Lepisosteus oculatus: one gene and its partners. The protein of the gene in region 1 purifies or fractionates together with the protein of each later gene. This does not show direct contact. Links are inferred from orthologs where the notes say so. Each region holds a gene or a part of one and is shown on either strand. Other genes may lie near its edges.

Region 1 (7,054 bases):
TCTCTGGAAGAGCTGGTAACTTTGGCAGGAAAAGATCCGATTCATCTTCATTATAAAACGATGAGAAAACACTGCAATAAAAAGCGATCTGCTATTCTACCATATCCACAAAGCAGGTGCTCGTACATTTCAATTTAAACTTTTTGGCCGTTCGTGGGTCACCTCCACCTCCATGTTCACAAAAGTTACGTTACTTGTCACTACCAATGCAAGAAAGCAGCTGGGTAACCTGCACACCAGCCTAATAGCATGAAGGAATCTTTTAATGTGAGCACTGTCTAGCCCGCATCTGATGTAAAAAATAATGGTGTGGACTAGGCAAATTCGCATAGTGACCATTTCTTCTAATTCAGATTTTTTTTTCCACCTGTGACAATAACGGAAACACACCTGTTGTCCTCCGAAACATCCATCCAGTGCATACACGACACTGGCTGCTCCACAGGGAAAGAGTGCAGAATTTCTGCTTTTTCCACATCGCAAAGAATCACCTGTTTAGTATCCCCAACACTGAAAGCCAAAACTAACGAAGGAAAAAAAACAGAGAACATGAACTGCATTACAAGAGATAGGCCACACTTAAAGTACTCCACATCCTTCTGAGTACAGGCGATTATTCCTAGTATTAAAGTGCACAACAGGTTTTGGATTAGTCTATTTCACAATCACGTTCTTGCATTTTAGCTATTTCACACTCCCGATTGCAATATCGTTTTCTACATTTTTAGAGCTCTTTTTGCAAATTTGAATAATCAACCACCCTTCTGGATGCATATCACACAGATGCCCTCAACAGAAGCTATAATTTCATCTCAACTGATGAAGAAGTGCACGGGCAAAGGGAATAAAAGAAATCCAAGTCATGTCGATTTCTTGATGACAAATAATGTAAAATATACTTTTCTTAGATGCTGTAGATGTTATCTAGATGGCATAAAGTCCCCAGGAGAAAGTAACTGGGGCTCCAGGCTGTGCTGGGGCTCTTCAGACACTGCAGCAGACCCCCTCCTGTTAAAAAGTCTCCCTGCCCTTACTTTTGCCATCCGGTCTCCATGCGAGCGACGTGATTTTCTTGCCGGTGTTTTCATTGGGAGGTAAACTCCACACCCGCTGAAAGTTCGCCAGGCGGTGTAATAGGAGCTTAAAAATAAATTAAAAAATACATTGAAACCAATTAAGACAAATTAATGAGGTTTGTAAATGTCGCTGATACACGTAGCGAGAGCTACACTCCTCGCGTCATCTTTTATGAGATTAGAATTCCCCAGTTGTTGTTTTCTGTCCTGTACCCTCAAATCTTAATTTACACACAGCTTCATTTACAACCAGCAACCCAACAGTTACAGTCTGCTGCAGGACTGCCTCTATCGCAGTAGACAGAGACAGGCTTCTTCCCCAGCCGTGACGCAAGACGCACACAAAGGGAGGCTTCGATGCCAGTCAGAGGGCAGACAAAGCCACAGACGATCAGACGATTTACTGGGTGACCATCTCAAAAGCAGAAATCTGCTGTTTTTTTGAGCCGTGAACTATTCTTAGGAGTGTTATTTTTTTTTTAATTCATTGGGGGCGATTTAACTTTCAAACACAGAAATGTTCTCCAGGGCCAGTGGACAGACAGACAGCCGCGCTCGGGGAAAACCCGCCACTCAGAACAGCGAATTTATTCTCAGCACAGGCATGCATGAGACACGGAGCATCAGCTTCTGATCCGCCAGTTCAGCACAAGGACTGCCAGGCGTGTAACCGGCGCCCCTCCGGCTGCGGCCAGCTGCCCCGAAGCCCTGGGGCTGTTACCTCGCCCGCTCGGTTGGCGAGGGCGATCAGGTCCCTCTTCGGGGACCAGACCATGAAAAGGACGGCATTCGGCAGCTGCTTCTCCCCCACTTGTCGGAACGCAGGCATCTTCGGCACTGACAAAAAAACAGACAAACCGGGAAAAAGATCAGCACATGAGAAGGGCTTCCAGGAGGACCAGGAAACAGCGACAAGCAGGAAGCACTTCCTGTGTGCTTACAGTGGAGGAGACCACTGGACTCGGCTTCCATCAATTTCCCAACCGTTTCTCCCAATTCAGGGCCACAGGGGAGCCGGAGACGCTCCCACCAGTAATGGGCACGGGACGGGACGCCATTCCGTCACACAAACACACACAGACGCTTCTCCCAGGGGCCTGTGAGCAGGTTAAAGAGCTCAGCTCCCACAGCTTGAGAAGTATTTAATAGCAATAATGTTATTGTGTCACTCCCTGCACTCCCACAGCGCTCCCCATCCTGAAGGGCTTCACATGTTCGAGGGAGCACACAGGTGGAGGAGTGAGAAACCGCGGCACCAATCACATCAAAAGGGGAATTGAGGGAACATGGAATTTTCAAGACTGGAGTGGAATTTATTTAGGGCACCAGGGTTAACATGACTACTCTCACATTGTCACGGGATCTTTAACGACTGGGTAGTTATGATTAATCCAAAGACTAGCACCTCCTGCAGCAGTTTCCCATGTCACTATACTGGGGTATGAGTCTGAATTTCTAGTCTAGACAGAGGAGTTCCAGTATTTGTAAGTCTTCAAATACAGCTATGGCATCGATTTTCCAACCTGAGAAGACTTGTAAGTAGTGAGCACTTGAATTTTAGAACAAAAAAAAAAGAGAGATACATTTAACAGCGATACATTTCTGAAACACTGCATGATGATCTCTCAGAATAAATACGATTTGGGATTTTTATTTTTTTCCGCTTTCATTTTAACACAAAATGACCTCGCTCTTCGCAGTGCACACTGGAGATTGTGGAAAACACTGCACACGCATTGCAGTCTGCGGTTGCTAGTAAACTTGACAAACTCCTCCAAAATAGAACACAACATCAGCACATACCTACTTCTCTCTTTACCCGAGCAAAGCACAAAGCTCGTTTGCCCAGTTCCCAAGAAACAGGCAAACCCACTACATCCTCCTCCGGCGCCTGTTCATGCGCGGCGCCATTTGCAACCAAGTGGAGGCGGGGCCAGCGAGCAGTACTCGACCAATCGCCACCAGCGCAGGGCGGACGGCAAGCGAGAAGGGACAAAACGCCTTATTCAGCCGGCAGGCAGAACTTTGGAGATTTATTATTATTGTTTAACGGGACCGATTTAAACAAATACCATTAGAAGTAGGGGTTGTATCCCTGGGCCTTGCCTCCTAATTATCCCCATCTCTGCACTGGCTCCATCACTCTGCTCTCCCCACTGAGAGCTGGTGTGTGAGGAGAGTACTGGTGCACCCTGGCTGCTGGCGTATCATCCAGGTGGGGCTGCACACCGGTGGTGGTGGAGGGGATCCCCATTACCCGTGAAGCGCTTTGAGTGGAGACTCCAGCAGAGGGCTATAGAAGTGTTGAAAAGTATTTACCCTTGCGGTGCGGAACCCCTACTGCACAGACACGCATTGCACGTCGGAATTGTTTCCCCCGCGGACACTAAGAAACTTTGGTTTCAGTGGTTTAGGATGAATCCTATTGATTGTATATGGTTACTTCTGTCTCTCTGTTTTTTCTTTGCTTTTTGTATTCACGTTTGTGCTCACTCGTCTGATAAATACGGTGGCTCCTGGGTTTATGTTTTATTCCAGGATTTTATTCGGTACGGAAAAACCAAGACCACCCTACAGCGGTCAGACCTACTGCGATACTTTGATGTTCCTAAAAGGTCAGAGACATCTTACCCTGCCGGGGCTTAAATTATAAATCATATTAAACTTTAATCAGAGCTGTGGACTGCTGTTCCCCCCTTAGAGAAAGATGTTCATATGATGAATGAAAAGACATCGTGTGTAAAGTTTCAACTGTGCGTTCAAAACAGAAGCTGATTAGAAACGGCCGGATTATGTTGATATTAAATTTAGATTGACGTTAGAATTGCCTTATGGAAAACACGATGTTCTGAAAATAATATTTTATTACATTTTCTCGAGGATAATAAATGGCATGCTGTATGTAACTTATTACTTCATACAACGCGTGTATTAGTCACCAAGTAACTGCACTGTATTGTAACTCGAACACGTGTGATACGAACAGGACTATCTTGGTTTCCATCTTTAAGACAATGACACAGTCTTTATAATTCTGCATATTAACTGTTGTATATATTATTACTATTATTTACCGTGTCAGATTGTTAATATTGTTGTTTGGGGGGTGTTTTGCAGATGGTTTTTCCATTTTTACGCTGTGTCTGTGATTTGGAATTCCTTATTACTCACTATTTGCTTACAAAAGACCCTGCTGGGTAAGCAGTTTCCAGGCTGGTTAGAGAGCACCCTGAGTTTCCTCAATGGAGGTACAGCCACACCTGGGACAGGTAAGTTCCCACATGCTGTATCAAAAGCAGGAATGAGGCCACTGCTGCTCTGCTGGGAGGTGTAACACAAGACAAGAACACACGTTTCCTGAATCGTCAAGGGCAGTGGCAGGTGGTTCTCTGCTAAATGATCAAGTAGCCTTGCACTGGATACTTAACCTAAAGAACATTGAAGGATCAACACTAACATATCCCAGCCCAGCTCTTTACTTAAATTAGAAGCCAACAATTACTTCAATTTGAGCTTTTGTAATGCAAATGTTGGACTTATTAAATAATGCCAAACATTTATAATACCAACAGCAATAATAATTATTATGCTGTTAATTACGATCAGCTTTATTTCATATTTATATCAGAAGAAATGCGACAGTTTAAAGGCAGCCACCAACATGTTGAGGAACTACAGTTAAAATGTTCACAGCACGCCTGTTATTAGGCCCTTTAGGAATCTGGCTATGTGACTGACTGCTCAACTAAAAGGACAACTAGCAGGGGTAGGTTCCCCAGATCCAGGGTGGGAACCCCCAGTGTGTGAGGATCTGTCCATCTCTCTACCAGTTAGTTGGAAATCGTGATGCGCTGACGTCCATTGCATTGATTTGCTGTTCACCTAGCTGTGCCAGAACAAGCTTATTAGTTTTTAGCACTTTATTTTCTCACAAGGTAGATTACAACTGCATGCAGACAGGGTAAATTATGAGGCCTGGAGAGCTCAGGGTAACAGTAGCCACTCCAGAGAGAACACCTTATTTCTGTCTGCTGGGCGATTTTTATGGATGTTTGTCCGATTGAAGCCAAAGGCTCATATTTAACCTCGTTAAACATCTCAATGCTTTGTTACAGTGCACCTGTTTGTTCTCCATTCACAGGTGAGCAGTTCTCTCTCCTCCTGGTGCAGGTGCTCTTGTGTGCTCACTCCCTCCGAAGGCTCCTGGAGTGTTTGTTTGTCAGTGTGTTCTCCAATGGAGTCATACACTTAGCGCAGTATGGATTTGGGCTTGGTTACTACATTTTACTTGGATTAACAGTGCTTTGTACCAACATTCACACTGAACACGAAGGTCAGTCTGGCCTGAGAACATGTAATTATTAAATACTGTTACTGCTGATTTTGAATGTCTTTAATATGTATTTAACTCCTACAGCTGTGTGTTTCTGTTGTGCCTTGTGTACAACACCTCTTCCTCACAAGTGCAGTGTATTTTACTGGTCTGCATGGTTTTCCTCAGTCATGTTGAATGCAGGCAACAGTGAATGATTGTTTCTCCAATGTCAGAGAATAACATGGATTTTCTAATACCAACCTAGGATGGAATAATATTTCGTTACCTATCATCAGGACACAAGTATCAAAAAGGAAACAAAGCAAAATCTGACATAATGCATACTTTGCAGTATACTTTGTTAACTTTCCAGTTGTAAATAAAAGCATGGTAGAGTTATACATTTCAAGAGAAAAAAGTTCTGGCATTTAAAAACAGCTGTTTATTGTTTTGGCAGGTAGTGTTAAAGGTGGAGTGCTGGCACAGGTGCGGTGGAACCACTTTGCGGGGGTGGGCTTGTTTGTCTGGGCCTCTGTGCACCAGCACAGGTGTCACGTGATCCTCGCTAACCTGAGGAAGGGTCGCTCAGGTGAGAGCTACACGGGGGTCTCACAGGTGTTGCTACACTCATGACAGGTCACTCGGGTTTGACTGGGGAATTATTTGGCAAACTGCACCTTTGTAATTCACACTGCCGAGAATCTCACTTGATCCTTCTTCAAGTCGCATTTTTTTTTTCAGATTGTTGTCCAAGTGTTTTGACTACACTCCCCGTTTCCTAGCTTGACAAGGATAGATATGAAAAGCTGGCGCAATCCCATGAACAATTTGTTCTTCACAGCCTTAAAGCTTCCCAACTTCCTGCTCCAAAAGAAAATGTGGCTTAGAGCCCAGCGCCTGAATCAGTTCATAAAAGGGGAACTGAAGATCTGAAACCAATGGAACGGTGCTTGTCTGATGCAGGAGCACCTAGACCGGCACTTCTTTAGGCCGGGGTGTGCTCATTGCTTGCTGGGGAAGGTCTGGCTCACCCATCACCCTGTATTGGAGAAAGAGGTTATAAAAAAAATGGCTGAATGGATGGCCGGGCCCTCATCCTTGACCGTACAGAAACACACTTTGGTGGTAGGTGTACATACAGCGTCTGTCCAATAATCATCCATTTTGCTGAGTGAAAATATAATACAGTGACCTCGTACGTTCTGAACTTCTGTTTGGCTCCGTTCATGTCTATTGTTTGTTTTGCTGTAAGTTTCCCCTACAAGTTTTAAGGCGGTTGTTAAACTTGCTGACGTCAGTCGCGCTGGGCCTTGTGCTCACACCCCCGATGCGGATCATTAACCCCGACGCGCTGTCTCTCTCCGGCTGCGGCAGGGGAGGTGCTCACGCTGGCTCACTGCGTCCCTCACGGCGACTGGTTCCGGCTCGTCTCCTGCCCACACTACTTCGCTGAGCTGCTCATCTACGTCTCCTACTGCGTGGCCCTCGGCGGCGGCGCCCCCACCTGGTGGCTGGTGGTCCTGTACGTGCTCAGCTGCCAGGCGCTGGAGGCTGTGCTGTGCCACCAGTTCTATCTGGCCAAGTTTGACTCCTATCCAAAACACCGCAAAGCCTTCATTCCTTTGGTCTTATAGATTTCAGCTGCAGTGTATGAAAGTACCGC
Region 2 (7,478 bases), on another chromosome or scaffold:
CTTAGTTTTAAGAAAAATATGCTGTATTCTGATATTTCTTTTTAGCCATGAACATCACCAGGAAAAGCTGACAAACCCATACACCGATTTAAAAAAAAAAAATTATTTCAGAGTGGATCCATCTAATATTTAATTCTTACATCCCTGATAATTAACCAGCGGGCCGATTAGAAGAGAAGATTTTAACTTACTGGAGACATGTAATAGGGAGTTCCCACGAAGGTTTTGGCAAAGCTGGTATCATGATTTAATATTCTGGCCAAACCAAAATCTCCCAGCTTGACATTCTGCTTAGCATCAAGGAAGATGTTGGCTGGCTTGAGGTCCCGGTGTAGCACCGTGTGGCCCCCATCACTTCTTCTGTGGCACTCTTTCAGCGCCAGAGCCAGCTGGGTGAGCACCCGCAAGATGAACTCCTCATCCAGGTATCGCCTGCGAGGGAAGGAACATGGAGCACTCAGTTTTATTCGATGGAAAACCCTCTCATGCAATGCTGGTCTTCAAAGTATAAGGGCTACCTATAGCTGGCTAAGAGTGGAAAAGATCTAGCCAGCAGCCATATACACCACAGCTTTTATGAAAACAGATCCATTATTACACCCATGTCCAGCAATAGAAGAAAAGCATCATAAAGGACATTTAGGTCGGGTCTTCAAACAGCTTTCAGAGCCAGCACCACCAGCTTCAAAGTGATGGCAAATCTGTTTTACCTACTTAATAATGATTAGAAAACGGTTACATCCAAAATGCTTTATTAATGAATTGTGTAGAATATTTTATAGAGTACTAATAAACTCATGCACAACGGTAATACTCAGGATTCAAATTAGATAGCTCAAAGAACAGAACAAGAGCAGTCTGAATTACAGCCACACATCTATTCAAAACCAGAACAAAAGCCAGGAAAGCATGAACAGACTGGGAAAAACACCTGGCAGATTCAAGGCACATGGCAAAGCGGCTCCTGAACCAGTCCAGAGAAGAGCAATTTGATGCAGTCCCGGTTTAAGGTTATATCCTTCATTGACAGGCTAAACGAGGTGAACCTTTTCTGGTCTTGAACAAAGATGACTAATCAGGGGGGTCAAGAATTCAAAATCCTCAAAGGCACTGAGAAAATCAACACAGCAGAGTCCTTCAGAAACACAAACCAGAGGACAAGTGGAAACTTGTTGTTGAAACTATTTAAAGCCAAGAACAAAAGGGTGTGGGAGTGTGCAACAAGCTCCACAGCCACATTTTTGAAGTCGATTCCCTGGTTTCTTTCAAGAAGCGGCCGGATCAATTACCGACCAGCTCCTAAACGGGCTAAGTGGTCAAAAAGACAAAAGTAAGATAGGGGGTCAAGTGAACAAGAGATCACAACTGGAAACGTCCTGCATTTCATTCCAAGAACAAAAGCTACTCTACATAGAAGGCTGTGGGAGTATGGAACAGGCTATCCCACCAAGTTGTTAAAATACACTCTAGCTTCAGTCATGAAATAACTGGATGAGATCCTCAGAGCAATCAATAACTAGCTACCAAGTGGGCTTGATGGGCCAAATGGCCTACTCCATCTTAGGAACAAATGGCATTAAAGGTGTCGAGAAATCAAATGCTTGTTTATCTACACTACCATGCCATGAATATAAAAGCAAACTAACCTGAAAGAAAATAAGTGAGATGTTTAGAGGCTAGTTTGGCAAAGTCTCAGGCATATGTTTTATTCAGTAATGGTGTAGCTCCAGAGACCTCTTAGTTGTTTAAGCCTGGACCAATTAAAGGGGCCGTACAGTAATTATGCAGTTCCCTACCCCAAGGAAATAATGGGAAGGCTATGTATGATGTATGACCAGGGCATTAGACCCGTTTGGCATTGTTAGCGTTTGCTTTTTGTTTGCATGACTTATTTCTCCCTTGCATTGTGATCCAGCCATGAGTGAATATAACCGTCACTGACGTTTGCCTTCTTCCTAGCATTGCTGGACTCTGCAAAAAAAAAATCTTAATATCTTAACTTGTGGCTAAAGAGACGGACTGCTTTTAATTTCATTTACTTCCGAATACTCCCCAGTAATTCGAGTCTAGAAGTCGGAGTATTACTTAAACACCGGTAACTGGCAGGCACCCAAGAAAAGAGAATCAAGGGAGGTACACTCATACAGTGTACGTACGCACCTTTCTTTAATACACCTGGTGATGAGACTGGACAGATCCCCCCCCTCACAGTACTCCATGACGATATACAGCGTGGTGTTGCTCCTGTCGATGATGCGGTCGTAGTACCGAACGATATTGGGGTGCTTGAGCTCACGGAGGAGATTCACTTCGGACACCAGCATCTGCTTTTCGGCTTCAGTCATGGTGCCATAGTCCAGCTCCTTCCACACAAGTACCTGGGAGCGCAGCAGATAAAAGTACTACAAATACTGACGATACATGTTTTAACTGCACGGTAACGTCATCTTAAAATGAAAGCGCTTCTCTATGCACAATGATTGCATCACACACAACATCATAAAAGCGTGACGAGGAACAAAAATGCATATTGTTAATGTATTTTAAAAAGACGTTCCAAGATAGCGTTCGTATTTTGCATTATCCTTCATTTCAAAAGAACGAGTATGAAGTCGGTCATGTAATGCAACCAAACAACACAGTGAAGTAATGTATACCTTTCCATCTGTCTTTCGTCTTATTTTCTGACATTTTCCATAAGATCCAGATCCAATTGTGTATAAAACTTCATAATCTTCTACGCGAGACGGCATCTTTAAACGAACTTAAAACAGAAAGTAAATGTTAAATCCAGATTTTTGCAAGGACAATCTCTTCAAACAGCGGAAATCCCCCTTTCAAAGAAATACTGATAGGTGACTGCCAAATATTTGTTTTAGCAGCCTTCTTTGACAACTTTCTTTAAAAAAAAAAGAACATTCACATTTATCCTTTCGTTATTGACAAACAAAATAACGCGATCACCTAGGAGAGTAGGAAGTTCAAGCTTTAAAATTGGCGTGGTTTCGTTTCTCAGATGTGATTGGCTTTCCGCACGGAGGAGCGAAAATCTTATTGGTCAGAAAATCAATACAAACCCACACTGCACCAGGCGTTGCTATGCAACAGAAGCCCGCGAGAGAACAGCGGGTATTTAAAGGGATCTTTAAAGTAAAAGATTTTAGTTTATGCCGAACATAATACAGTACTTCAACATTTCTGGTCTTTGTATTAACTATTGTTTATGTTACGCTTCTCTGCCTTTTGGCTAAAATTAAGTGTAGCGTTTCTTTATTCTGGAAAAGGTCAATGAAAAGATAAGCTACGATTAATCGGTTCACAAATTTAAAAGAACTTCAGGAGACTATTGTCCTAGTTGTAGTTTGAGCTGCTCATTATGCAACTATCTTGAAATAATACTGAGTATATTAGCATTACGTCTGTGATTGAAATATTTTAGAATCCTGAAATTATTTATAGTCATTTTAAATTAATGGTTTGTATTTTGGTACGTGAAGTTATATGATTTGTTATTTGTTTATGCAGCGCTAGTAAACTGAATTATTATTCATTATAATATTACACATGTTGCGAGTGAAAAGCATTAGTGCAATCATGCTTATATGGGAGTGTGCAAACAAAGTTAATCAAAAATTTAAAAGGCTTCAACTATCTGGGTGGAAGCCTGTTCCAGACACTCGCAACTCTTTGTGTAAATGTGCTTTACTGTCTATCCGAAGTTCACTTTTACTTTCCAAATTGCAAACTTGTGTATTTGTGTCATTGATGAGTGAGAAATAGTTCCCCAGGCTGCCTCTTTTTAACAAAAAATAATAAATATAAAAAAACAGTTTTATTCCATGCTGAAAATCTATTTATACTACTTGAGGATTTAAAATACTCTTCTAAAATCTTCTTTTAATCCCTTTTATTCTATAGCGATGAGAACATTTGTTCTGTAGCTTTTTTGTGATCTCCTTCAACCTGTCTGTATACGACAGACATTTCAGGCCAAGAATCAATCTTATTGTCGTGATGTCCTTATTGTGATATGGTTGCCAAAACTGGAAACAATGTTCTAAACAAGATCTTACTAGTGTGCTGTAAAATCTGAAGCACGACTTTCCATGATTTAAACGTGCCATATTCCTAAGCATTCTGTTTCCTTTTTTATTGCTTCCCCACATTGTCAAGATGAAGACATGAAGGATATTAAACCCAGACATCTTTCTTGCATAGGTGCCTGTAGCTTAGAATCACCCATGTGATATATACCGTAGAATATGTTCCTTACTTCCTGTATAGATCACTTTACAAATATCAACATTAATCAAATGGTTGTGTGCAAGTTTCTTTTTAATTCCCTTGGTTCTGTTTCTGTGTCTGCTATTCCCCACTATTTTGTATAATTTTAAAATTTCACTTAGAAATGATTTAGGTGATGACATCACAATGTCAATCATTGATACAGTTCTGGCTAAGCAGTCTAGCACAGCAGGCCACAGCTTTCAGAAGTTATGTTCTTTGCAATGATGTCCTCTTTCCTGTTTGTTAACCCATTCTCAATCTGAGTATACAATACCTTTAATCCCTACAGCATCTTCATTTGTGAATTAACCTTTTAAAGCTGTTTTGAATACAAATATTTATGAATGTTATTTAAATATGTGGGTGTCTATGAACAGATTAGTAAATGTTTTATTTTTTTAAATTGTGAAGTATATTAATGGCAATATTCATCAATTTCCAACATCACCTTTTCACTGGCATGTTAGTACAGGTATTTGCACATAACCCCTCACCATAAATCTTTTTTTCATGATGGAAATAGATGTTTTATTGTAATACTGTATTTGTATTAATAGAATAATTTCCTCAACAATTATTTTGACACCTACTGTAACAAAGTCATATTGCATTCCCTAGCTGTGGTGGATAATTATAATCTAGTGTATTAATAGACTCATATTAGAGATTGTTTTGCATAATCTGTTTGGGAGTAATTTGCATGAACAATGGACTGGAATTCTAAGATAGTTCTGAACTGAAAAAGAAATAATTTCCCTCTCTTAATTTTATCTCAAGAATGCACATCATCATTGTTTACTCTGAAGTAAGAATCTTAGATATACTAAGAAGAAAATAAAGAACATACTTACCAAACACACTACATAGAGGCTAGATGAGCCAAACCAAACCTTTTATGTTCTAAAATGGAGACACTTTTGTATTATCAACATTTCAGCAAAAAATGTGTTTTCATTTTTAATTTCAAGTAAATAAAAAAATGTTTTTTTTTGCTTTCTTTGCTTTGCTGTGATTTTCTTGCATATCATTCCTTATAAATTAATGACCAAGGCTTCATCAAAATTGGTCCAATGAAAATACATTGCTGTTGTTAACTGTAGCCACTTTTAATCAGTTTCAGGAAACAAATGGTAAAAATCACTGTTAATGCAAGACAGCTAGGAGGGGCGTCTTATACACCAAACAGGCTGATTGGTTCATCCTTCAGAGGTGAGTCCTCTTATTCACATACAGTAGTTATAGGTGTGTCTAACAACACTCAAAATGAATGTGATGGTGCCTCATTTTCCCTTCTAGGCATAGGCTACATGTCTGCAGATCTGCACATGAAAGCCCTGAATACCCATATGAATGAAAGAAACCCCCCAAACAAGAGGCTGCCTTCATACCTGTGTTAAAAAAGATGTGTGTAGTGCAGCACAATCTCAAATATCTTTGCAGACTGTAGATAAAAGTTTTCTTTTTTTATATGCCACACCTCTGCCTCTCCCAATCTTTGAAAACTCAGTTTTGATTGTAAAACCAGGAAAACGCATTGCTAACATTGTTATCACAACTTTAGCTGGGGCATTAACAGTAATAGTAAATAACATAAAGGATCAACTGGGAATTGTGAATGTGAATTGTGTAGGATTGACAATTACAGTAAGGGAGTTCATTTTGAAGCCCAGACTCCTTTTTACTTTTTTTTTAACATGGGGTGTAAGGTGCACTAAAACGGGACAGACTTAACCTTGCAGTCTCCCAGCTCAGTCAGATCTTTTCGAGTTAAACACCTTTTCTTTGCAAATAATCAAAGCAACTGTGGGTGACGTGAAGAAGGCTCCAGAGCAAAAATGTTGTGTTTCTTTTCTTCTCTTTTCAGCCTGGAATAAACCTTTACTTGTTCCTTTGCAGCCTACGCATGCTGATGCAGCTATCTACTTGAACTATGGTTTTTGCCCATGGCTGCTTAAACAGGAATTCAAAAAGTGGAAAGTGAGTGAGATGATCTCAGAGTTCCACTGTAAATGTATATATCCATCCACTCACAATGAGCTCTTCATCGAATACAGAAGTCATTCCCAAACCTGAGCCTTGAGAAAGTGCTGTTTGTTATTCTAGCAGAGTTCTTAATTACAAGCTGATGGTTTTCAGCTGGATTTTCGGGCAGTATTTTTAAAACTTCTCTCAGATCCTTAAAAGGTGATTGGGACTTTTAATTATCACCCTTATACCAGTTTCTGTGATTCAGGGGTTTTTGGAACTTAAAGAAGCAAGCAGATCAATTAATGTTGTCAGTTAGTACTGGCAATTTAAGAGGTTGCCTCGACTAAAGTCAGCAAAGGTAATGGTCCCACATGGCCACCGCAAAACAGAGCTGTGTGGATCTCGAGCCAAACCCAGCAGCACAAGGCATAAAACACCACAGGCCACAGATAGTCTATGGCATGACGCACAGACTGGTCAGTCTAGACATGCCAATTAACCTTGACAGGTTGATGTCTAGGTTAATTCTTTGGATAGTGAGAGAAAATAAGAGCCTTTGGTCAAAAAATAAATGTAGTCAGGAATAAACCATACAAACACTACACAGAAGCCACCCAGGCCAGACTCAAACCTGAGATCCAACCATGTCTATATAGTACTGCTATAGCACCATGCTGCTAAAAAATGATTTGTACTGTTTAGTGGGTATTAAATCTCATTATACGTTCATTGGTGTAAGTTGTTTCTAAAACATATGCTTGAAAAAAAAACTTTCTGTCTTCATTGTTTAGTAATTCACTCACATGCTTCAAGACACGAAATCTGTGTTGTACTTGGACACCTCTGAAGCAGAAGTTCCAATTTTTTATGAAACCAAGAAATACCAAAAAATAATGACAAAAGGCCACACAGTTGTTTATTTGCTGTCACACAATACAATATTATGTCAACTTGACCCTTTTATTTGACTTCATTTTCATGATTTTTCTTTCTTTCTGTAACCACAAGGTGGCAGAACAAACATATTATGAAAATTGACTATACAGCAATGCTGGAGATCTCCATTCTTCGAGACTTGAAATCTTGCACTATTTTTTAATTTTTTTTAATGTTTGGTAAATATTTCTCTATGTGACAGTTGGCTTGCTGACTTGACATCAAATGAAGATTCCCTATGGATCTGCTCAGCTAATGGTGTCTATGACGTTGCCTCACCGTTAATG
Region 3 (7,854 bases), on another chromosome or scaffold:
GAACAAATATAATTATCATTTCTAAATTTAAGAAAAAACAGTTTGAGAGGGAGCTCCCTGGTCATCAACACTGGCAGGAGATCAGCACCCTTTGAAACGATTCAAACAACATTTTTTTTTGGGGGGGGAGTTTTGGCATAGCCTAGGCAGAACTTTATTGCTTTCCCATGAGGACCCCCTCCCAGCATTTTCCAGCCAGGGCACAGAGAATTGTATGGATACTTGGGTCCGGTGTGTGTACATCGAGCCAGGCCTCTCACCTCATTGATCTCTCCGTCATCGGGAGACTCATTATAGTCATTCATCTCATCTATGTCCTGCATGTCCTCATCGTCTTCTGAGTCCTCCTCACTATCTTCCTCATCCTCATCATCCTCCTCATCCTCATCGTCATACGTCTGCAGAAAGAAACCATGCAACAGTGTCATAAAGCCATGCCTATACTTAAATCCGTTCCTCCTACCCATTACCCTCCAGTGGCATATTTATCTGTTTTCCTGCTGCCCGTGGTTGTTTTCATTCCAGTTATCAGATCTACAATATATGGCTACTGTTGTGATGTACAGCTTTTATGGCAGTGACTTCGTTAAGTACATTATTTGACACAGCCTACTGTATTATCATTGTGACAGAATTCACTAATCCTGACCTAATATGACAAATTAAAAACGATATTCATAAACAACTGCAATTCTTCCAACATGATCACTGATTAGAGCAGGCCTATACCAACAGTGTTTTCAGCATCAGAATCACATGCATTTAATCTCAAAATGTCATTAAATGACCTGCTATTTAAATTGGATAAGACAATTCTAAATTTCTGCCAAAATACATGCGATAGATAAAAGCATAAAATGAAGCTTTGATTTTTGAGATGTTAACATATTCCAATAACCGATTCACAAAGTCAAGCAAAAACACAACTATAGTTCAGAATTACTTGTTATATACTAAAACCATCACAGGTATTTTGCTGTTGTTTATCCTTAGTGGTACTTTCAAATGCCTATATGCAACTCCAAAAACATTTTAAGGTGGAAACACTAACATGTTCCCCGGTCTTAAATATGAGGATCAGATTGGCTCAACATCTGACCCTTCATGACATCTAGACTTGTAGAGAGCTCAACAGTTGAAATATTAAGTTTCTTCTTTTTACTTTTAAGTTTGTGATTAACCACATTTTCTCTGCAGCTCATAAACACTGACTCAAACATCTTATTTTCAAGCAAAGTATATTGCGGTACATACATCTTACCTCAGAAACAGGCTTCCCTATTGGCATCAGATTGTTATCTTTTTCAGCAATGCTTTGCAACTGCAGGAAGATACAATTTAATTAGAATTACACAGCAAAATATTTAAAAAAACCTCAAAAATCTTAAACTCGAATAAAGAAAACATATGCATCCCACCTAGAAAATAAAACCCATAACACATTATTTTGCAAATCACCTTGTTTGCTGGAGAGGATGGCAACTAACGTAATACGATAATATAATACAGTTAAAGGTTGAAACATTTTCATAACATTCAATGCAGGTGTAGGAACAAACAATTCAACAGAATTGACTAACAATAAAAGCGTACAAAAACCTTGCAATTGTCCAAAGGTTAACTTAACTTTATTGCCGTGTTTGTCTTTTGTTATATATAATGCATCCCCCCCCAGAGTGTACGACGTTGTGACTTTATATTTGTTATAAAAGTTTTAAAAGATGTTAAAAGACATGCCACGACAATAAAATGAAAAAGATGGGAGGAAATCAAGCTGTGTTTGTTCCTGTCGTCCTCTACACACCCAGGTCTGGTGTTGCTGCTCTTGTTGTTGAAGCTCATTTTCATCCACACAAGGTCGGTCCAGGTTAAACCATAGTGACTCGGTCATCCGGGGGAAAAGGGAAGGGAACAGCGTGGACATCCTACAGGAGTCAGTGAGAGTTTAAATCCTCTATTAAGAAAGAAAACACTAGTTCTCCTTCGTGATACCTTCATCGTGGGGTTTATTTTAAATGGACAATTAGCGATGATGCCCTTAAATATTCTTTAAAAATAATATTACACGTATATCCTTTAATTAGAAAGACAAAGACATATTCAGTACTGTTCTAGCATTTATAAACATAAACCATAATTCTAAATGCGTTTACTGTCATTAGTTATGTGGATAAACATCTTTACTATCGTCAGTTAGTATGATCCATCTTCATAAAACCTCAACAACACGAACATCACCTGCTGGTCTTAAATGCAGAAAGGACCACCAGAAATACAACAAAATACTCTGGAATATCAAAGCATTTTTACTTTGGCCTTGGTATGCATTTACGGCTGTGATCTTAACTGAATCACAACGTTTTCAGATTGCTCTTTAAACGTCCAAATGATTTACACAATTTCGAAACAACGCTAAGTCACAGATGTAATTACTCTCGTGGATGGATCAAATAGGAAAATAATTGGGAAACTTCCATACAGCACTGTCGCCAGCATTTTCTTTAAAAAACATTGGCTTAGTTTTAGAACAAACATCCGTAATTAATTTTACACTTTCCTTATCGGTGACATCAAAAACGGTTTATTTTAACTCTTTGTTAAGATGTAGAACCTTACCTCGGGAACAAATCAAGACGTTAGGATTTTTAAATTCGAACAAGAACTACAAGAGAACCGGAAATAGGTGTTCACGTTATGAACGTCCTCTCTCTCCGAGCTACTGTCGTAATAGTTCCATGTGACGCCTGCGTTCTCCAAAAATAAATTACTTTCACGTAATGTTGATTTGTTGATTAATGGACACATTGTCACAACACTGTGAAATAACATTTTTATAACCAAATTCAATGTAAAATGAATGCAAAACACAGCTCATAAAAAGTTTACTTAAATTACAGCAGTCAAGTAAAACGACTGTAAAGCCCTGTTCTATACAAATCGACGTAGACGTATGCTTCATAAGTCTATTTGATTGACTACGTTTGCCGTCAGATGTTATAATTCTGGTTAAGCCATGTCCTCAGTGTTATGCTGTATATTTCTGGTGTTACAGCTGAAGTGTAATGGTGACTCAGAGGATAGAGCCATTGGGTTTTCCTGTCGGGACTGTAATCTGATTGGCTACTCTACTGTTGTTATTTTAAAAAAAAACAGATGCCTCTCTCTATTCCGACTAAGCATTTAAGGGCTTGAGTGGTCCACATGTTATAGGACCGAAGGTGTTAAAAATTGGAAGCCAGTAGAATCTGTGTGGCATATTTTTTATAAAAAGGCAGATCTAATTTTATCGGATAAAATGCCCTATAAGCAGATACACAGTGACACTATTTGATACTGCAAAGCAGAGCTGAGAACTGTTTCTGTATTTTTTTCTGCTTCAAAGTATAAATCGCGCTGCGCTCTGCATATCCCTTAAATCTGACATCACGTCTTTTTTTGCTAAGTGCAATTGTTATAGCAGATATTTCTTTTTGATATGGAGTTTATTTCACACTTATGTCATAAAGTGTCCTTGTGAGAACCATAAAAATTTATCACATTCATGGCAATGTAACATGAAAGTCATTTGATAAAAGATGAGTGTGTCAACATAATGACAAAGGGAAGAATTTAAGCCTGTCTCCTCTCTTCTGACTTGAAAACAGCTACAGATGTGAAGTAAATACAGGGAAATTGCATGTTGTATTTCTTGTCACCCCCTGCTATACCAAAAAATTGAAATAATGTAGAGAAAAGTCTGAAGAGGACTGTGGGTTTGCAATGTTTACCAGAGAAAATAGTTGTTGTTTTTTTATCTCAGCTTTACTCAACACAGGACATTTTGCAAAGTCAATGAACAGAAATGAGCATTGGACATGAAGAATAACACACTTAAAACACGTTCTGTTGAACAATGGTGACTCAGTCAATTCCAGCACAGGGTAACACACCTGCATATCACCAAATATCACCAAAAATATCACCTGCAGCTCACAACTGCCAACCCACTGAAGCTAAGCAGGTGTGAGCCTGGTCAGTACCTGCTTCGGAGACCTCCTGGGAAAAACTAAGGTTGCTCCTGGAAGGTGCTCACCCTGTGGTCTGTGTGGGTCCTAGTTCCCCAGTATAATGATGGGGACACCATACTATTTTGTATAAAGGCACTGTCTTTTGGATGAGATGTAAGACTGAGGAACTGACTCTCAGTGGTATTTAAAAATCCCAAGGATTTTGTAGCCTTGGTCACTTGGCCAAATCGCCCCCTAGCCTTTACCAATCCTAATAACCCCCATCTATGAACTGGCTTCATTACTTTGTTCTCCTTCCCACTGATAGCTGGTGTGTGGTGGGTGTACTGATGCAAACAGTGGTTTAATAGAAGTGTACAGAACAGTGATATATAAGTGTAAGGAATTAAATTAGTGTGAAGTGGGACATGTATATATATTATCCAGCATCACAGTATCACCACTTAAGCACATTGTGAGAGGTGTTGATGGGGTCCGTTAATTTAGCCTCAAACAAAGGTTACACTAAGATGCCATAAAGCTGACTTGCTTTAGCAGCCCCAGTGGCTTAACGCTACATAATAAAAGACAGGAACAACACCCACAAACAGGACAAAGCAGACCAATGTCTGCTGCATATCAAAGGACAGAACCTAGAGCAAGACAGAGTAGAACAAGAGGTAATTACAAATCAAAGAACAGGACAAGCACTCAGATTGTGAAACAAACTTTCTTCTGACTGTATATGAGAGCTGGGATACCCTTGCAGTTTGTCTGTTCTGTGGGGCCGACCCGGCGCGCGTTGTTGGACTTATTGAGCTCAATAAAACTGAATCTGCACAAGACTGTGTCTTGCTCCTCTGATGAAGAATTCCCGCAACAAGAAATTAAAAGAATCATACATATAACACGGATTTACACACCAGAAGAGATCTGCAATGTTGAGAACAAACCAAAACCAAAATTCACCTTAAAAAGGTTTTTATGTTCACCTTAAGCCATGATTTCCCTTTCAGGAATATTGAAGATTAGCAAAATTGCCAACTAATTTACTCAAGGCACAGATAAGCTGTGAGACTTCAATTAAATAAGAATGGTGCAGAGAACTCTTGAATCATTTCATGTAGACCTAAGAATCCTGGGCCTTCAGTTCAAGTATTTTAAATCCTTGTGTTTTTATTTCAGAAGACAAACATTACAGAGGCAGACTCCAACTCCAATGTTACAATACGTTAAAATCCGAGTTAATACCCTCACCAAATAATTTGCTCACATTTTTTTAATTATGCGGTGAGATAATCACTTCTCACTTCACACTGATTTACCACTTCTCTCTGTCTGCTGACGAACACCCATAGCACAGCCTGAGCAGCTTCCCTAAATTTGCGCTTCTACATTTACCAGAAGAAAGTCTGATGTCTCTCGACTGAGGTAACTTCTTTTCAGCTGTAAAAGCAGCCTTATTCAACAGTACAATTTAAGAAGGGTTTGAGCACACAATAAAAATAATTTTGTCAACTACACAGATTAAATAAGCGCAAGTAAAAGTAATATATTAAAATATACAGAAAATGTAATGGATGAATCTTGTATATAAACTCTTCGACTTCAGAATGGTTACTGAGTTAATTGCTGCATTTAGTTATTTTTAGCTTTTTCTTACAACTAATGAGTAATCCATTGCCCTGCCTGGGTCACACTGTCTTGTTTATGTAATTGGCCATTCCTTTTTTATAATTAACCAAAGTACCAGCTGCCTTTAGATTTATGCATTGCAACGTTTAAAGTTTTTTGTTTAAGAAACTCAGTCCTCTGTTGTATGTCTCCTTCCACTGTAGGTTAGAACTTTTTTTTAATAAAAATATTAAACGTTGAGGGAGTTTTACTCACGGAGCAGTTGTTCATTCACTTCTGGGGAACGCTCTTTTTGTGATTAATGTTAGTAGAAATTTGTAGGAGTTTCATTTCTCTTTTATTAATTTTTTGACATTTTTCTACATTCACAAAACGTTGCATTATTCATCTCAAATGTCTTGTTTGTGAAAATAAATACTTTGTTCTTGTGCTTTTCAAAAAAATGTTTTCAAGAGCGAGTCTGATGTTTCATCAAAATCTTATTCTCAAGGCAAGTTTTATTTTGTTTTAGCCAAAGGAGGTGGAAGAATACTTTGTTGAATGAGAAAGCAGCCTGGAATCTCATTGTGAGCACACGGCTTCAAGGTAAAACTTTCACTCTGTGGAGAAGAGACCTTGCATACTTTTTCTAGTAAATTCTCAGACTTTGTCCTGTGATTGTGCAAAGTAATCATAAACTGTTATCTTCGCATTCCTAAATAGTACTAATGGAAATCAGGAACACAGACTTTCTCTCTGTTATTGCACCGTTTAGGGACTGTCCTCTACTGTCTGAAGCCAATCAGAAACCTTCCATTTGAGTTAAGCTATAGCCTGAGAACAGATATAAATTGTCCGTGGTGTGTAAAGTTTATTTAATCCAGAACATCAGAGGAGAGTGAAGCTTCGAAGGCGGTTCAGTTTTAATCCAGGATGTACTTAAGAAGGTCTTGATCATTTTATTTTCCTTATTTTTTTAAATAACATGTCAGTCTTTACTCTCACCAGGCCAAGTAGACTGAAAACAGAGAGTTAGTCTTTATTGTCTTATGACTTCATGGGGTTTTGTACTTTTCATATTTCATATGTATTCCATATGTAGCATTTCAATGCTTATATAGAACAGCACAGTATGGTATTTGAGATAATTATTAGGTTTTATTTGGTAATTATATTATTTCAGAAGCCAAAATTCAGACTGCAAAACGTGAAATAGAGTGTTACTGTTCTGAGCATATATGTAAAGTTTCCATAAATGTTACATATAAAAACTATATATAAAACATTTAATTTTTTGGAAATACGTTTGAAACTTGTGATCATGACTTAAAGGTACCTCACTGCAACTTTATCACAGTAGTTTTAATGGCATACTTGATTGCCTTACATTGAAAAGTCCCAGCCTCCCAACCAGACTTAAAAGTGAAGAGAGTTTAAACTAATCATCCATGTATTATTCATAATCTAAATAAGGAGTGTTGTGCCAAAGTGTTAAAATTATTTTGTTCATGTATTAGTTTATGAAATTAAATGTAAATATCTTATTGTACTGTATGCTATCTTATACTGTAGATTTCACATTATTCTCAAAGAATTCCAGAACTATATTTCTCAGATATACTGCAGTCTGGTATCACAATATTTACAGGGTGATTTTCAATGTTTGAGTTCCAGTATTTAATTTGTAACCTTTTTTTCTAATTCTGAAAGTTTTAAATTAGGAATTTCACATGGGAAAATGTGAAAATACGAAACAAAATTCACATACTGTAAATGCTTGCTTTCATTTATCTGTAGTGTAGTTTTGAAAAAAACAATTGGAATTTTGTCACTGTTAGGAAAGTGCTGTCGCTTTTGTACAGGAGTAAAAGTGTTTTAAGATTCGGCAGTGCAGAGAAGTCATGGATTCAAAATCTGAGTGAAGTACTGCTGTTGTCTTGTTCATATCACTTAAGAAAAATGCCAAGATATAGATGTCACTTTGGACAGCATCAGCCCACTTTGCTTAGCTGGGTGTGAGTTACTTTCTGTTGCCTGAAATTATAAATGAGAGAAGCTGGAGGAAAATCTTAGTTAAGTTTCATGGAGAACTTTTTCCTCCAAACATAATTTATCAGTTTTTTTTCCTTTAGAGAAATGCTGGGTGTGACCTTGCTGTTGGCCCTGGTTTCTGTGGCGGTGTCTGAGGATATTTTAAACAAGTGCATGGATGGCAAACATCATAAAAAAACTCCTGGAGCTGAGGGCAAACTTT
Region 4 (7,138 bases), on another chromosome or scaffold:
TGTTGCTCTAAGCACAGATCAGAAGAAATCTATAAAAAATGTAAAAAACAGATATCCTTTTGCCAAAGAACTGTGACTCACCTGGAAGGGCAAAGGGGAGATGAAGTCTTTCCCAGTAATACTGTGAACATTCACACACGTCCTCTGAACAACGCAAACAGTTTGCTCCACGACTTCTTGTTCTGAAAGCAAAATTTATTTATGCATCATCTAGTCTCTTGGCCAGGAGTGCGATTTTGTCCGATTCTTCATTGCACCTACCAAATCTTTTCGGCTGCCACAAAAGGCAACCTTTTCAATAGGCTGAGCTGCATAAGCCTAGATGCCTGGATGACACAGATTAATATTTCATACATGTCATACCCTTATAATTAAACAAAGGATTTCATCTGCTCATCTGGGATATTAATCCGCAGTCATATCTGAAGCCTGATACTGTGCTGCATGTTTACAACCAACAAACACAATGAAAGCTGATACACCGACGTAAAGACCCAGGGTTTTAATGTCTAAACTATAAATGAAAAAAAAAAGCAAAATTACCTTCTCTATCTTCCTCGGGTACACCAAAATTACACCACAAGGCCTGAAATAAACCATTAAACAATTTCAAATTCCATGTACCTCGATAAGCACAAACATAATACACTTTCATAACCAGTTCAAAGAGCTTTAGCCATGTCACAAAAGGATCACCGAGAGCAGTTTGAAAATAATGACTTAATGAGACTGCACGAAAAACAGGAGAAAAACTCTATTCTGGGGCTGAATGATGTATTTGATTTTCTTTACCCACGGGAGTAAAGTAGAGGCTTAAGAACAATAGGAGGGAGTGGATTTCCTTTGTCATGTGTACCTGTAGGACAGGACTGTCCACGGTGAAAGCCTTGTATACATACGAAGCCTGATTCTTGCTCCCCCGGCTCCATATCACCATGTTCCCAGCCGCATACAGCTCCTCTTCAAACTCCACCCCATGGACCTCTCCACCAGCTCCCTTCCTCAGCTGCCAGCTCTCCTGAGCACAACAGAAAGGGAATGATCCATAGCCCATTCTTCACAGGTATGATGATGACTGGCATTCCAGGAACCGCCAACAATTTCACAAAATACACCCATAACGATGAAAACTTTGACTAAATCCACCACAGCTGTATTTGAGCCATGAAAGTTTGCAAGTTTAATTTTAACAGGCATCTCTTCCTCCACACCATCTTACTAGTATTAGTGATACTGATTATTGATATAATGTAGCTCAATTAGAGTCTTTTGTCCTGGGATGTTTATGTTATCAATAAAGCATATTGTATCCATCTGAATAAATCAAGTGTTACAGTTAACATGCCATGACGCAGCACAAGCTGCCACAATTAAATGCTCGTTATCAAGCCAAAAGTAAGAACCTGACCAAAATGGCTTTTCACGACAATGTTAGAGAAACACCCACATGCATCACCTGAAATCGACAGGGGATACCTGGAAATAAACTTCCAGCAAAGCAATGTGGGGAACAGAATCAGGGAGTGGGGGAAAAAAAAGAGTTGAAAATGAGAGAACACACAAAATGCAGCAGGACAGAAATAAATCCGAAAGGGGGCGAGTAAAAGGAAATTCGAGACATTACCCTCTCCTTTTCCTGCAGCGTTACCTCCCGAAGAGACCCCACCAGCCCGGCTGCCCCATCGGAGCACCACAGCTCGGAGGCCGGCTGAAGCTGTCGCAGCTGCAGGTTCACGGCGTTGGGGTGATTCTTACAGTGCTCGCGACCGAACGGAACAAACTCCTGCAATTCACCTGCGGCTATCATTGTGGCTCTCTCTTCATAGACGTTCGACATGAGTTCCAGATATCAGCATTATTTCTGCAGGGGAAGCCAACAGGTAAACATGATCTGGATAAAAGCCAGCCGTTTCCCCCACCCCCCAGGATATAAAACATATCTGAAAGAAAATTACCCCAAAAAAGCTGCAGGAACTGGAAAATGAGCAGAAAGCAAAAACAACATAATCTGACAAAAGATGTAATTTGCTTATAGCGTTTTATTTGTAGGTGTTTGTTCATGTTTGTGGCCCATACTGTTCTGTTTAAGAGTTAGGTTTTACAAAGTGAGAAAACACTCTGCACTTTAAACAGCTGACAAGAAAAAGCAACTCCTCCTTTCCGTCAGAGAGAACCTGGGGTAGGGATGAACTTACTGAGGTCATGTCTATCTTGGAAGAGCTTTCCAGAAAAACAATCAATGCTTTCTACATTTGGTTAAAGCAAACGAGCGATTTCTAGGAGTTTGTTGTCCGATTTCTTAATTAAAAAAGAGTGAAGCACTCTGAGTATAGCGCACTGCTCAAAATTGTGAAAGGCATAAACAATGATATCAACAACAACATGGTCAGCGCAGTGATGTAGAAGTGACCCGCAGTAACAGCGGCTGGATGCATGTGTTGTTCCATCCTACTATTCCAGCAACTTCCCAGACTACATATTTTAGGAGCCAGATAGTGGAAGAAAGATAATAAACGAGGGCTACGGATAAGTGACAGCAGCAATATTTTAGAACACGGGAACACGTGGGCATGTCGTAGCACGTTACTAGTCAACATTTCATCTAGATTCACAATCTAAGCAGTGTTAATTAAGCAAGACTAGTTTAAGCAAAACAAGAAAAGCACGCACTTTGCCTTAATGTTGAGGGCAAAACGTCATTCTCGGAAACAGCTGAACGTTGGATAGCTATTAAACTGTGCCAGGAAATAAACAAGGGATACGGACAAACCTGTTAGTAACGAATCGTCTACCGCCGGATCTCGGAGTCCCTTGATGTATTTACGTTCAATATAAGAGGATGACAGTTTTTGACAAACTGAAACAAAACAAACACTGAATTCCGTGGGGAAAAAAGACCAGACGTAAAAAACTAAGAATAACAACACAGGGATTCAAATGGACGCGGCCATCTTGATATCCCGTGAGCCTCCGCCATATCGCTCTGACCAATCAGAAGGCACAGAAAAATCAACAGCGCGGACGGGCGTCAGCCGAGCCGAATATTCCTCCTACAGTATGTAGACAACACAGGGAAGTAATTTCATGCAGGGATGGGTTTGTCTGTCTGAGAAGCGTAATTGGAGATGATATATGTTTGACTTTGCTTGCAATATTTCATAGTTTTGCGGCGTTTCTAGAGACTTTCATAAGAAACCCGCTTAACTGTGGAATCCAAAAACACCACAGCTTTACAAACCATGCAATAAGGGATATCGATCTCGTGAGAAAGCATCAACATCATTCGAAATATCCCTTCTCGACAATGACTTCCCAATTAAACAAAGCGCAACTTACTGGTCAATAAATGTCCTGTGAGGATTGTCAGAGCAAATACAGTGATAAACTAGTGATTTAACTTACAGCTAGTTCGGAAGTGGAAAGTGTTCCTTAGTATATGAACTATTATTTGCCTCAGTATTATTCACATCCTCAGCATTCACTCACTTTTCAGTTAAATAATGTGTCACATGTTTTTGTCTAAAGCAACTTTGGCAGACATTGCCATGGTAAACTTATTATTAGGGTTGTTAGATTCAAAAGCACATACATGTAGTACAAATACAGTTTATCTGCATTGTTGTACTTGTAGTAATTACTGTATCGCTTCCTAATACAAATTTTAATTGGCCATATTTATTTCTTTGCCAACAATAGACTAGATAATTATTTTCTTGCAAGACTTGTTTATGTATCAATGAATCAAGGCACTGACACAGTAGAGATGGAAAACCTTGTTTTCGATAAGACGGAATGCAAGCTTAAAACGCATGAAGTAATTATATAACGTACCACATGCAGTATGCAGTTGCTAGATGGATAGAATTGCCAAGCTAATCCACATGAGCACACTGTTGCACATGAGAATTTAAAGTCATCAGTGCTATTGAGGACAACCCTGCTTCAGTCCTTGAAAGAGGAGGGAGAGAGAGGGAAGGTCTTAAGCCCTATCCTGAAGGCACACTCTCCTGCTGGTCCCTGCCAAGCTTAATTACTTAACTGAAGACTATGTTGAACTAACAAATTGCTCGATTGGACCATAGCCATGTGTTATACTCATGCAATCAATTAGTACTGCTACATATGAAATCCATATGAATAGTATGGATTCATATGAATCCATATTCTACATATGAATAGTTAAAAAGCAGTTCCAACATGATATGCAGAAGCATATCATGTTGGAACCAGTCTGAAACCAGTCAAATAGCTCAAATGAATGCCATTATGATATCAATTGTGTAACTGAGAGCTTGGTTGGAACAAAAAATCAATATGGACCTTCATGACCAGGATTAAACATTCCTGTTCTTTGTCACCCTTAAAAAGAATCAATCTGTAAAGACATGTGTTTTGAACAATTTAGTAAGTGGAATATTGTCATGTTTTATTGCCGTGAAACGTTTAAAAAGAAAAGGGGTATTTATGCACACCAAATGGATCTTCACCCTCCCCTGTACAGAATGTGTTTGTACCTTGTTTAAGATTTTTGTGTTTGTATGTTGTAATAAAGATGAATCATCTAATTGTTACCTTTGAATCTCTCTACGTAGACTTGGAATATTCATCACAAGAGAACAATTTCAAGTTGCTGTGTAAAGATTGCAGAATTTACTCTATAGCAACCCAAATGTCGTTGCATTTAAAAGACGTATGTGGAATAATGAGCAATAATGTGTTCATTAAAAGACGTATGTGCAATAATAAAGCATCTTGACATTTGACGTGTTTCTCAGCTCCTTGCTGCCATCTAGGGAGGAAGGCGAATGTCACTTTAGGGTCGGAAAGCTGGAGGAAGACCCCATGATTAGGGTGGAAGAAGAATACTGGTTCTGGTCTGGATTGCCTTGCAGTTAGAACCAGAACTTTCAGTCAGGAATGGCAGACACTGTTAAAATTAGCATGAGTGAAAAGTTTTATATTGGCCTGTATCAACTAATAGCAACTGTATTTGTAATGCCATACCACCACTGTTTAAGGAAAATAATTATCCTGAATTACAAAGGTAATGAGTCAATTTATGTGTTTCCTATCCCACGCTGTTTGTTTTAACTCACCAAAAGGTCCCACCACTGCAGGGTTCTGACACTGCTGACATGAGGGAAAATCTGGTCCCTGTTTTCCAGAGCTCATTAAACAAGTCATCACTGTCACGACCGTGTTGGATGAACTGTGGTGAGTCAGACACATATTAAATCTGATAATGGGTCGTCTACAGCTCTGGTTGAGAGTCTAAACCAGCAACCTCCCTGCTCTCACCGCCAAGCCTTGCTAATGTCATGGTGGTGTGGGGGAGAGGGGCTGTGATGTCTGAACCTCAGACACAGCAGCTCATTGGTCCCAGAGCTCATCGATGACTGAGAGCAGGTGACAAACACCAGTCCACTGCAGGGACCTCTCCTTAGCAATGTTGGTCTCCCCCGAACAGCTGGGTGGCCAGGAACAACTGGGGTACGGTGCCTCATTCAAGGTACACCAGCACCAGGACTCGATACCACAACCTGGCAGTCAGGGGTCCAAAGACCCACTATGCTACACTGCCCAACGTAATTGAAGTCAGCCAAAACAAACATATAGATTGAGGACGATAGTTCTCTTGTTTTTAAATTTTGGCAGTCAGATCAAGTGCATTTCAGGAAAGACAAGAAATAAGTTTGGAAGCACTTTTTAATATTTACAACCCTAACAGTGATATGACAATAATAAATGTCTCCCCCATGTTCAAATAATGAACAGATTTGTGTGCTAAATATGTAAATATGTAATATCTAAAAGCATTACAATTTATTCAAAAATTAAGACTTTGAGGAATCGAAAATGTTTCTAGTTTTCACTACACTAAAGTTTTACACTTTCTCTTATTTTGCTGCAAGCAAGGGGGCTCACAAAGCTAATTGTAAAATGCTGAAATATTTTGTTTTTCGCTCAAAAATAGCCGAAACATGCTTGAGGGAATTTAAGTGGTAGACTCAGTTTGGAAAGGAAAATGAGGAGTGTTTTTTGCACTAACGCGAGTTAGTTCTGTGAAGTCTAACCTTAAGAAAAAGTCCCAGGAATCAACAGAACGGTTCTTTACACGCTGGTGAAAGTATGTTGTTAAGATAAATCAGGTAAAAAAAACTACGCACGTTTTGTGAAACGTTGGATGAAGGAGCCATACATGGAATACCTCCGAGAAAAAATAATAGGTACCGTTGTACATACAAATTTTGCAAATGCAAAATACTGAAACGGAAGGCGAGGGGTAAGCTATCACTAATTCTACATTTTGCACGCATCGTTAATGTATAATCCCTTGGTCTAGAATAATTAAGTGTGAAAGCAAGCATACCGGTATGTTAAAGGACTACATTGTTCTAGTTCTAAATTTGCACTGGTTATATTATATAAAATGCTCGTTTCCTTTTTGCTGGGCTGTGTCGTCGATTGGAAATTCAGAACTTCTCTTCTTTATCTGACTTCATTACTGATGGCCTTTAGCAACGGACATGAAAAATGATTCTCTGAATCCAGAGTCACACAGACCGCCACTCTCCTCCGCTCTTGAGACGTTGGTTTTAGAGAAGGACACAAAGTGAATTAAAGTTTAGTTAACCCAGCGCACAGTCTTCTTCCAATATGGTCAGTCAAAAGCAACGGAAAATATCAGTGACATGTGAAAATTAAGATGTCTCATTAACGTCAAATAAGATGATATTCATCACGCCAGCGACTCCGTTCTTAACCGACAATAATGATTTGATACTGTTACCCGGCTGCACGAAATCTGTTAATTAGGTTTCAGGATATAGAAAAAAATAGCGCATTCAAAACTGAAAGAGGTAAGCACATGACAGATTGAGGTGGAATCATGTATACAGTCTATATACAGTTCTTGCCGATTAATTACACCAAGCCGTACGGAACATGCAGCATTTGCGTTAAGGCTTTCCAGCTGGTTATAGGAAGCCCAATAATAAATGCCTCTGTCAGATAATCGTAGCCAAACCCAACAAGAGGCCGAGAAGAAAACGGCAACAGGGCAAGAAAATGTCATCTGAAATAAAAAAAAAAACCTGGAACGTGATCGCCCATGTCTAAATGCTTTCCGTAACCTTCA

The links.
Region 2: the proteins of anapc4 (region 1) and nek2 purify together in Homo sapiens (affinity purification with mass spectrometry; 6 studies listed by BioGRID and IntAct, with this or other methods). This does not show direct contact. The link is inferred for Lepisosteus oculatus from reciprocal best matches to the Homo sapiens genes ANAPC4 and NEK2.
Region 3: the proteins of anapc4 (region 1) and anapc15 purify together in Homo sapiens (affinity purification with mass spectrometry; 10 studies listed by BioGRID and IntAct, with this or other methods). This does not show direct contact. The link is inferred for Lepisosteus oculatus from reciprocal best matches to the Homo sapiens genes ANAPC4 and ANAPC15.
Region 4: the proteins of anapc4 (region 1) and anapc1 purify together in Homo sapiens (co-purification; 13 studies listed by BioGRID and IntAct, with this or other methods). This does not show direct contact. The link is inferred for Lepisosteus oculatus from reciprocal best matches to the Homo sapiens genes ANAPC4 and ANAPC1.

What each region holds. Positions count from the first base shown.
Region 1 is NC_090696.1:77,826,181-77,833,234, reverse strand, and holds the start of anapc4 (anaphase-promoting complex subunit 4), read right to left. Parts: upstream 3,019-7,054; 5' UTR 2,885-3,018; coding exon 2,884-2,884; exon of another isoform or gene 2,880-2,883; intron 1,914-2,879; coding exon 1,798-1,913; intron 1,141-1,797; coding exon 1,035-1,140; intron 524-1,034; coding exon 391-523; intron 72-390; coding exon 1-71. Other genes in the region: srd5a3 (polyprenal reductase), read left to right, coding at 3,492-3,691, 4,194-4,345, 5,218-5,409, 5,849-5,980, 6,766-7,025. UniProt on the Homo sapiens protein: Component of the anaphase promoting complex/cyclosome (APC/C), a cell cycle-regulated E3 ubiquitin ligase that controls progression through mitosis and the G1 phase of the cell cycle.
Region 2 is NC_090697.1:46,236,953-46,244,430, reverse strand, and holds the start of nek2 (serine/threonine-protein kinase Nek2), read right to left. Parts: upstream 3,002-7,478; 5' UTR 2,754-3,001; coding exon 2,658-2,753; intron 2,647-2,657; exon of another isoform or gene 2,379-2,646; coding exon 2,161-2,378; intron 433-2,160; coding exon 192-432; intron 1-191. UniProt on the Homo sapiens protein: Protein kinase which is involved in the control of centrosome separation and bipolar spindle formation in mitotic cells and chromatin condensation in meiotic cells.
Region 3 is NC_090700.1:12,717,189-12,725,042, reverse strand, and holds the start of anapc15 (anaphase-promoting complex subunit 15), read right to left. Parts: upstream 3,018-7,854; 5' UTR 2,617-3,017; intron 1,926-2,616; 5' UTR 1,925-1,925; coding exon 1,805-1,924; intron 1,322-1,804; coding exon 1,262-1,321; intron 399-1,261; coding exon 261-398; intron 1-260. Other genes in the region: folr (folate receptor), read left to right, coding at 6,534-6,547, 7,733-7,854. UniProt on the Homo sapiens protein: Component of the anaphase promoting complex/cyclosome (APC/C), a cell cycle-regulated E3 ubiquitin ligase that controls progression through mitosis and the G1 phase of the cell cycle.
Region 4 is NC_090712.1:2,594,010-2,601,147, reverse strand, and holds the start of anapc1 (anaphase-promoting complex subunit 1), read right to left. Parts: upstream 3,008-7,138; 5' UTR 2,771-3,007; intron 1,862-2,770; 5' UTR 1,838-1,861; coding exon 1,625-1,837; intron 1,019-1,624; coding exon 857-1,018; intron 587-856; coding exon 544-586; intron 183-543; coding exon 82-182; intron 1-81. UniProt on the Homo sapiens protein: Component of the anaphase promoting complex/cyclosome (APC/C), a cell cycle-regulated E3 ubiquitin ligase that controls progression through mitosis and the G1 phase of the cell cycle.